Arabidopsis thaliana: one gene and its partner. The protein of the gene in region 2 purifies or fractionates together with the protein of the main gene of each other region. This does not show direct contact. Each region holds a gene or a part of one and is shown on either strand. Other genes may lie near its edges.

Evidence for each region.
Region 1: the proteins of SK6 (region 2) and AT1G73230 fractionate together in Arabidopsis thaliana (co-fractionation; one large-scale study listed by BioGRID). This does not show direct contact.

What each region holds. Positions count from the first base shown.
Region 1 is NC_003070.9:27,539,214-27,544,204, reverse strand, and holds AT1G73230 (Nascent polypeptide-associated complex NAC), read left to right. Parts: upstream 1-2,252; 5' UTR 2,253-2,385; intron 2,386-2,840; coding exon 2,841-2,908; intron 2,909-2,994; coding exon 2,995-3,143; intron 3,144-3,242; coding exon 3,243-3,299; intron 3,300-3,383; coding exon 3,384-3,422; intron 3,423-3,514; coding exon 3,515-3,699; 3' UTR 3,700-3,977; downstream 3,978-4,991. Other genes in the region: AT1G73240 (nucleoporin protein Ndc1-Nup protein), read left to right, coding at 1-28, 114-338, 870-1,247, 1,344-1,808; OCT1 (organic cation/carnitine transporter1), read right to left, coding at 4,096-4,991.
Region 2 is NC_003074.8:19,668,253-19,671,466, forward strand, and holds SK6 (SKP1-like 6), read left to right. Parts: upstream 1-1,913; coding exon 1,914-2,171; downstream 2,172-3,214. Other genes in the region: AT3G53050 (D-galactoside/L-rhamnose binding SUEL lectin protein), read left to right, coding at 832-1,182, 1,259-1,336. UniProt on the Arabidopsis thaliana protein: Involved in ubiquitination and subsequent proteasomal degradation of target proteins. Together with CUL1, RBX1 and a F-box protein, it forms a SCF E3 ubiquitin ligase complex. The functional specificity of this complex depends on the type of F-box protein.

The sequences.
Region 1 (4,991 bases), on a different chromosome or scaffold from region 2:
ATGGGTTTTGGAGTTTCCTATCATTCAGGTTTTGTGTCTTTGCTTCTTGATTTATGGAATGTTTCATCAATTTTGTATCTTTGCTGATTCTTACTTGTGTTTTTTCAAAACAGCGTCCACCGTTCTTCAGCTTCAAGATTGGTCTTCCTTCGGCTCTAACACAAGCTTTGAAGCTATCTGGTGTGCTTTATGTGTTGTCGACGATAATGCTATTGTTTCTGCTAGACTGGTCAGGTGGGCTTGTGTCTGTATCGAAATTTTTGGGTGAGCAGGTCTTATCTTATGCCGGCAGTTTCTGTTTGATTCTCTCTTGGGAAGTCACTCACCATATACATAAGGTTAGTTAAGTTTTCTCTGTTGATTTGCTATTGATAGATGTAATTGGTTGGTCGTATAGCCGTTTAGATTGGTGGTATAGTGTTTAGTATTTTAAGATCCCTGTAGCTTATTAGTGAACATAGTTGAGGTTAGCACTCAGTATTACTTGAGTGATGCAAAACTTAACTGAGAAAAATTTGAAAAGACGACAAGTTAGCTGTGTTTGCAATCAAATGTTGCATTGATAGTATGTGTAGAATTGTTTTCCTGTTTTGTTAGTCATTTCTGTCTTTACTATTTATGTTTTGGAAGCCTATACCAAGGTCTGTCTGTCTTCTGTGTATGTGGATCAGTTCAAAGAAGACTCATATAAATTTGTATCGATATGTTTACTTTTCTTGAATAACTTAACTCTATTCCTACCTAAACAACTTTAAGTATTCATCGGTGAGTTTGCTCTGTGTATTACTTGTTACATCCATAAACTTCAGCTACTTTTCCAGGTTCTAGATACAAAAGAAGTTAGTTATAATTGTTGTTTTCATATCCAGGTTCTGCACACAAAACGGTTCAGCTTTGCTCCTCCAAAAGGATCTGCTGCAGCAGAAACGAATCCAAGCGAGCCTCTTCTTGCTGCTTTAGAAGGGAGCGCTCCAGGTTCCCTCGAGCAGTCTCTTGCATACCTTGATCTCTACATGGTGTCTCAGAATAATGTTGACACATGGCGTCGTGCTGCCTTCTTTGAGGAGTCCACCGAGACGTACAAAAGAGTAATTACTCTATGCTTGAGGCCTTTGGAAGAGCTTGCCTCCAAGTTAGCTTCTGGGCTAGACCACACCTTTACTGAAAAAGGTTATCAGACACCACTCCAGCCACCAACCGAGTCCTTTATTGATCCAAAATTCGGCGAATCACTTAAGTCTTTCCAGGTAAAACGAAATTCAAATTTTGATCCCTTTTCTATGTGATAATTTCTTCATGTAGCTGTAACCAAAATCTGTTTGCTCTGTATCCGATATTTGCAGCTATATGCATGGTGTGCTCAAACATCTGCATCCCTGACTTCAATCTCTCACAAGGAAGACAGGCTCGGAGTAGCTCAACTGTCTGGTGGAAACGCTGATGTTGTCTCAACACTTCTATCGCTTTTGCTAGCTATCGAAACGTTTATGGGGAAGAAGACTAATCTTCAATCACCTCAACAACTGATGGGACCTGCTAGTATCAAATGGGCGACCTCGAGTATGGTCAGAAAAGACGTTAAACCCATCAAAAGGAGTATTGGCGCAATGTACGCCTACGCATATGCAGCGACAGATGTTTTGAGGATATCAGTATACCAGATTCTATCCACATTCCGCGATGAAATGCTCAACAGCGACAGAGCCGGACTTCTTGGTAGAGATTGGATTGGAAGCAAGAAACCACCTTTTGGAACAAACGACATGCTCCTACAGAAGCTTAAGCTCTTCCTCGAGTTCCAAGCTTGATGGAAGATTAAAGAGGTACAATTCCTCGATTAAATGTGGTAACAAGTGTCATCATGATTCAAGAGCTGGATAGAAAAAGGAACTAGAGTATTTTGTTACATGATCAAAAAGCCTTGTATTGGAAAATGAAATCCCTCGATTTTGCAGAAATTTGGGATTAATCTTGTTTTTGGTAAACTAGAAAATTATATAAGAATCAAACTTTAATGGTAAGTTTTGCATCTTAAATCTTGATTACATAAATTTTGCAGAAGACTCTCTATATGCTTAACAGTAACTAACTCTTACGCAATTTACGAAGGAAACCAAAATTAGAATCTGAAATGGGCCAGAGATTTATTAGGGCCCATGGCGTGGCTAATAGTAATATCGAAGGAGAGATCGTGACCGTTGGATGATGATTAATATAATAATTGTATAGTGGTTAAAGCTTAGATTGGCTACATTACACATCGCATTTACTTAAAGGGCAAAACCCTCCAGCGCCGCTTGGATCTCTCTCTCCTCTGTTCTCTCTTCCCTTATCTTCTTCTTATACCCTTCGACCAACGAAGAACCCTAGAAATCGATTAACAAGGTAAGCCCACTTCAGCAAATCGTTCACTCATTTCATTTCCAAGATATTCGATTGTTTCCTTCTGATTTAGCACAAGGGTCAAGATCATTTTTTTGTTTTTGTTCTTCCTCGATTCATATGTTTTTTTTCATTGATTACTGTTTTTGATATTGGTTATCTTGTTTTCCAATAACTTGTTAGTTAGTTAAAAGTAATGTTTGTGTAATGGTGACCTAATCGATTGAAAAAATTGAAACTTTAGGTTAAGCTCATTGTAACAATACGAGCTTTGTTCTTCTCGCTGCACTGTTCTCATAATCCTAGTGTAATCAATTTGTGGGTTGTGACTATTGCTCAGTATTACTGTTTTTGTCATTGGCTAATTAATAACAGTATTAGTTATTGTATATGCTTAATTTATAAGATACATTTTGGGCTAAATGGGTTTAGCTTTGTGTGTTTGTTTTGAAAAACAGATGAATAGGGAAAAGTTGATGAAGATGGCTAACACTGTCCGCACTGGCGGAAAGGGGACAGTAAGAAGGTATACTCATTTATGTCTTTTCTGTGAATTTGTGTTTTTGCCATTTTTCATGTTATATTCTCTAAACATTTTGACTCTCATTTCAGAAAGAAGAAGGCTGTTCACAAGACCACTACAACCGATGACAAGAGGCTCCAGAGCACTCTTAAGAGAGTTGGAGTCAATTCCATTCCCGCCATTGAAGAAGTTAACATTTTTAAGGATGATGTAGTCATTCAGTTCATTAACCCTAAAGGTAAAACATCAAATTTTATGGCTTTATAAATCTCAGGTTTCGTATAAAATTTATTGTATTAATGGTTGTTGTGTCTCTGTTTTAATGTTGCTATCACAGTTCAAGCTTCAATTGCTGCTAACACATGGGTTGTGAGTGGTACACCACAGACGAAAAGTAAGTGTTTGTATCCTCATTGTTGATCCAATACTATTCTCGGTTTATGCATAGTCTAATCTCGGAATGTGAATTATCCTGCAGAATTGCAAGACATTCTTCCTCAGATTATCAGCCAACTTGGTATGCAGCATTAAGTGTTACACTCTGATGTCCTTTCCCAAACCAGTGGTCCCTTAAGTTAACATTTTGTTTTCTTGCTTTGATAATCGCAGGACCAGATAACTTGGACAACCTGAAGAAGCTAGCAGAGCAATTCCAGAAACAAGCTCCAGGTGCAGGTGATGTCCCAGCAACAATCCAAGAAGAGGACGATGATGATGATGTCCCAGATCTTGTAGTGGGAGAGACTTTCGAGACCCCTGCTACTGAAGAGGCTCCCAAAGCTGCTGCTTCTTAGAGGAGGAGGAAGAAGAAGGAGAAGAGCTCACCTGCAAAACCCATCATAAAAATGTTTGTCGCTCGACCTCTTCTGAGCACTGTCAGATTCTTGTTTTCTCTAATGCTTGCGAACAGAAAGACTTGGTTTTATTATCACTTGATGCTTTTTGGTCCGAACAGCAATTTTCCTTTTATTAAGGTTAGATCGCTTTTTGTTTACCACCTGTTCAAATGAGTACTACTATGTCCTGTCGCTTCATACACTTCTTGCAACACAGTCCTTTGTTTTGAGTCAACGATGTCTTGAGATGAACAATCAACAGTTTCGTACATTTAAATGGAAATTCCAAAGATTTTACATATTTCCAATTATTGGATGTAAACATTCCATAGAAATACAACACTCTGAATGCAATCAAGTAATCATGATTGTTTCGTTTTCGATCTCTTCCGCTTTCCCCTGTTGTGCTAGTGTTTCGTAAAGCGGAGCGTTTCGAGTTTCTCGTAGCCAGAGACTCACGATGCCGCTCAGCACTGATGCAACACCAAACACGATGAACGACATCATTGCGCTTTCCCTTCCTAACGCAACTAGCAGTGGTGCTGCAGACGCTCCTAGCATAAACGCTTGACGCAAAAGTGAGACAGCAGTGTTCCTAACGTTTGTTGGGAACAGCTCTACGCAGTAGACATATAGGACGTCATACGCTGTCGAGGATGCCATGAACCCAACCGCCTCAACTGCAAGTTGTAACCATTTTGCCACAGATATCGCACGGATCACGCGGTGGATCGAGAGAACCGCGCAGAGCAGACACGCGAATCCGGCGAGGTATGATGAATTCGAGAATAGTGGACGGCGGTTCATGACCCCGAGGAGGAAGCTTCCGATGAAAACCGCTGGAAACTCCATCAGAGCGTTAACAGCAACAGTTAAGTAAAGATTGAAGTTGAGATTTTCAGCATTTAGTTGAATTCCATAATAAACAAAGCCACTGCCAAATCCAGCCATCATAACCATTATGATTCTTTTCACTGCCCATTTTGTTTTCCAAAACTTCTCCGATGATGAAGTTTGATCATCTCTCTCTGGAATTGGATCGACTAGGCTTAGATCCGCCGGAAGTTGTTTCCCGTTGAGCCTCGCGAGTTTCTTCAAGACCACCATGGCTTCTTTATTACGTCCCTTGACAAGAAGCCATCGAGGAGACTCATAAGCAAAGGGCAGGAGACAAACCGCGTATCCAAGAGGAAGAAAGGATATGATCCGGTAAAGATTTCTCCAGGACTTTCTCTCCAAGTAAGCCATGA
Region 2 (3,214 bases):
CAAGTTAGATAAACTCTTCTTCTCTCACTTGTTTGTCTCTCTTATATACCAAATCCTTGATTTTGAATGCAGGTATATCCTATAAGAATTCGTTTATAAGTATGATTAGTTAAAAATAAATGAAATTTGTAAGAAGACAAGATTTAAAAATGACACTTACATAGTTTTCGGAACTTTTGAGACAGATTTGTTTGAGTTTTCATGAGTATGGACAAGTTTTTCTAGAACAAGAACTTGTTTTGTCAAAAACTTTTTGATACTTGCCATAGTTACAGATTTTTCATACATGTTCCTAATATTGTTTATCAAATGTTGCGGTGATAGTTCAACAACTAGACCTATAAGAGCAAGTCATGCTTCGATGTGGCACCAACCTAGAGTTTATAAACCCCTAAGCAAAATGAAAAAATGTAATTTATAGGAATGAAATAAATTTTCAAATAATAACTTATATCTAAAATATAAAAAGTTATGCAAAATAATTTATAAAATAGTTAGTCACAAAAATTGTACAAAACTAAAAAAGTCTTATGTGATTAACTATAACCTATAACCTATTATTTAGGAAACAATTTAAAAATCAATGATATTTACTTATTTTTGCTACTGAAAATGCAAACCTGTTATTAAGTAATCGTAGAAAAGTCAAAAGGATTGTTATTCATTAACTCCCCCAAAAGCCAAGAAGAAGGAGAGTGAGAAATGGAGAGAAAACTTCACGACCACATTCACATTATAACTCAAATGTATATAAAAATTATCCATAAATAGCCTAGTCCTCATTCTCATATTCCTTTTGATTATTAGTGAGAACACAACACCAACAACAAAATGGGAGACTCACATTGCCGTTGTCTTCATGGCTTTATTTTGCTTGTTGTTCTGTTTCTTTCCTTCGTGTTTAGTTTCGCTTCAAAGATAGACGTTTCTTTTCACGGAGACGAGAAACGTAGTCTCTCTAGCTCCATTAATTCCTCTCTTAGTGAGTCAGCGGAATACACAATGTGCGCGACTCATAAAGAGGCTAAGGATGGTAAACCAATCGCATTGGATTTCGATTGCGAACAAGGATATGTTATTTCAAAGATCACTTACGCCGACTATGGCCAATCCACTGGTAGTTGTGGGAAATTTAAACGCGGTAATTGCGGTGCAAGCAATACCTTAAATATCGTCAACAAGGTATACAAAATCAATCAAAAATACAAATTTTCTTTCAAATAGTGTTCTTATTAATTATTATCGTTTGTTTGTGCAGAAATGTCTTAGGAAAGAGAAGTGTAAGTTGTTTGTTCCAGACAAGATTTTTGGTCCGAGCCACTGCAAGGGAGCTTAAGTCTCGTTATTGACGCTACTTGTAGAAAACTTAGTTTTTTTCTTGTTTTCCAAGTTAAAGTTTCTTTATGTAATCGACCTAGTCAAGCTTTTGTTTCCTACTTTACACGTTTGTTACATTTTTTCTCTTTGTTGCAAACCCCAAATGTGTATGTGCCATACAATATCAATCATCTTTGCCATATTTTATCGAACTGTTTATAGGTTACTCAATATTTTTCTCCTCAAAAAATGTGAAGACTGACACGTACCAAATCTTTTAAGTGAGAATCACAACAAATCACATAAAACACCAACCAATTCCATTCTTTTTCCTCTTTTGACACACTTTAATCCAAATCTGATCAAGTTTTGGGGCCACATTGCAAAATTGGGGCCCGTTGTAAGTTTTGGTCCCAATCTGAAAATGCATATCCCACCGACTCTGACAATTAGGGCTTATAAATAAACGAGCACATAAGTTCATAACTTGGTTACTTCATTATTCTTCCATCTTTTTCATCAAATTGCTAAGAGAGTAAAATCGCCCCATAACGAAGTAACCATGTCGAAGAAGATAATCGTGTTGACAAGCTCCGATGATGATAAAGGGTATGGCAGAAGACGATTGTGCCGATAATGGAATCCCTCTTCCAAACGTGACAAGCAAGATACTCTTATTGGTGATCGAGTATTGCAAGAAGCACGTCGTTGAGAGCAAAGAAGAAGATCTAAAGAAGTGGGACGCTGAATTCATGAAGAAGATGGAACAATCGATTCTCTTTGATGTTATGATGGCTGCGAATTATCTCAATATCCAAAGCCTTCTTGATCTCACATTTTCAAACTGTCGCTGATTTGCTCTCAGGCAAAACTCCAGGCGAGATTCGCTCATACTTCAATATCGAGAACGATTTCACAGCAGAGGGAGAAGCTGAGATCCGCAAGGTGAATCAATGGGCTTTTGAATGAAAGTGGATCTTCAAAGTTCTTTCTTCTTTAGTGTTTTCGGTTTTCTTGATGCGATGTTAGATGATTACTTCGTCTATTTCTTGTTTGTTCTGTTGTTTCTTTTCTTTTGGTTTCTTGATGCATAAGTAAACCAATGTTTGTTGTATCTTTACCCTAGAGACGATCTATTGTTGGATTTTAGTATATGCTAACCAAATCTGAAGATTGATGTTTTTGTTTTTGAAGCAATTCTTGAATATATGTGAAGTCAAATCCTTCCTTTTTTTTTTCTTATGGTAATTGAAGTTTACTAATCCGAAACTAATTATATGACACTTGAATTTTGATATTCTATACTTGTATCATAATTAATAATCAAGCAATAAATGCAAATTGTCAAGATTGAACATTCTAAAATAGATAGTGTGAAAATTTGTTGTTCTCTTTGCGAAATAAAAACAGTTGTTTTAATATTCTCGTAGGAATATGATAAACCTAATTATAGAAAACTTCGCAGCCACATCCGCACACAAATTCGCATCTCTAAGAAACTTTAATTACTAATATTATCATATATATCAATATCAAAACATTACATATTTATACTTAACTACACGTACTAAACCATCTTAGCATTTTTCAACACCCTTCTGATTTAGAAGGGAACGAAAAACTAGAATAAAAATGGAAACTACACATTCTCTTCATCGTCATGGCTTCATCGTTTTGCTTCTTCTTTTATCCGTTTCTTATGTGTCTTGTTTTTATACAAGGAATATCATCAACGGTTCTTATCGTTTAAATCCAAGAGAATATCGACCGAATCAACTGCCAATATGCATTGATCATCCGGCGCCTAGCGTCGATCTATCGCCCATCTTTTGTGGTGAAGGATATGTTATCTCTGAGATAAAATTCGCCGACTATGGCCAACCCACTGGTGACTGTA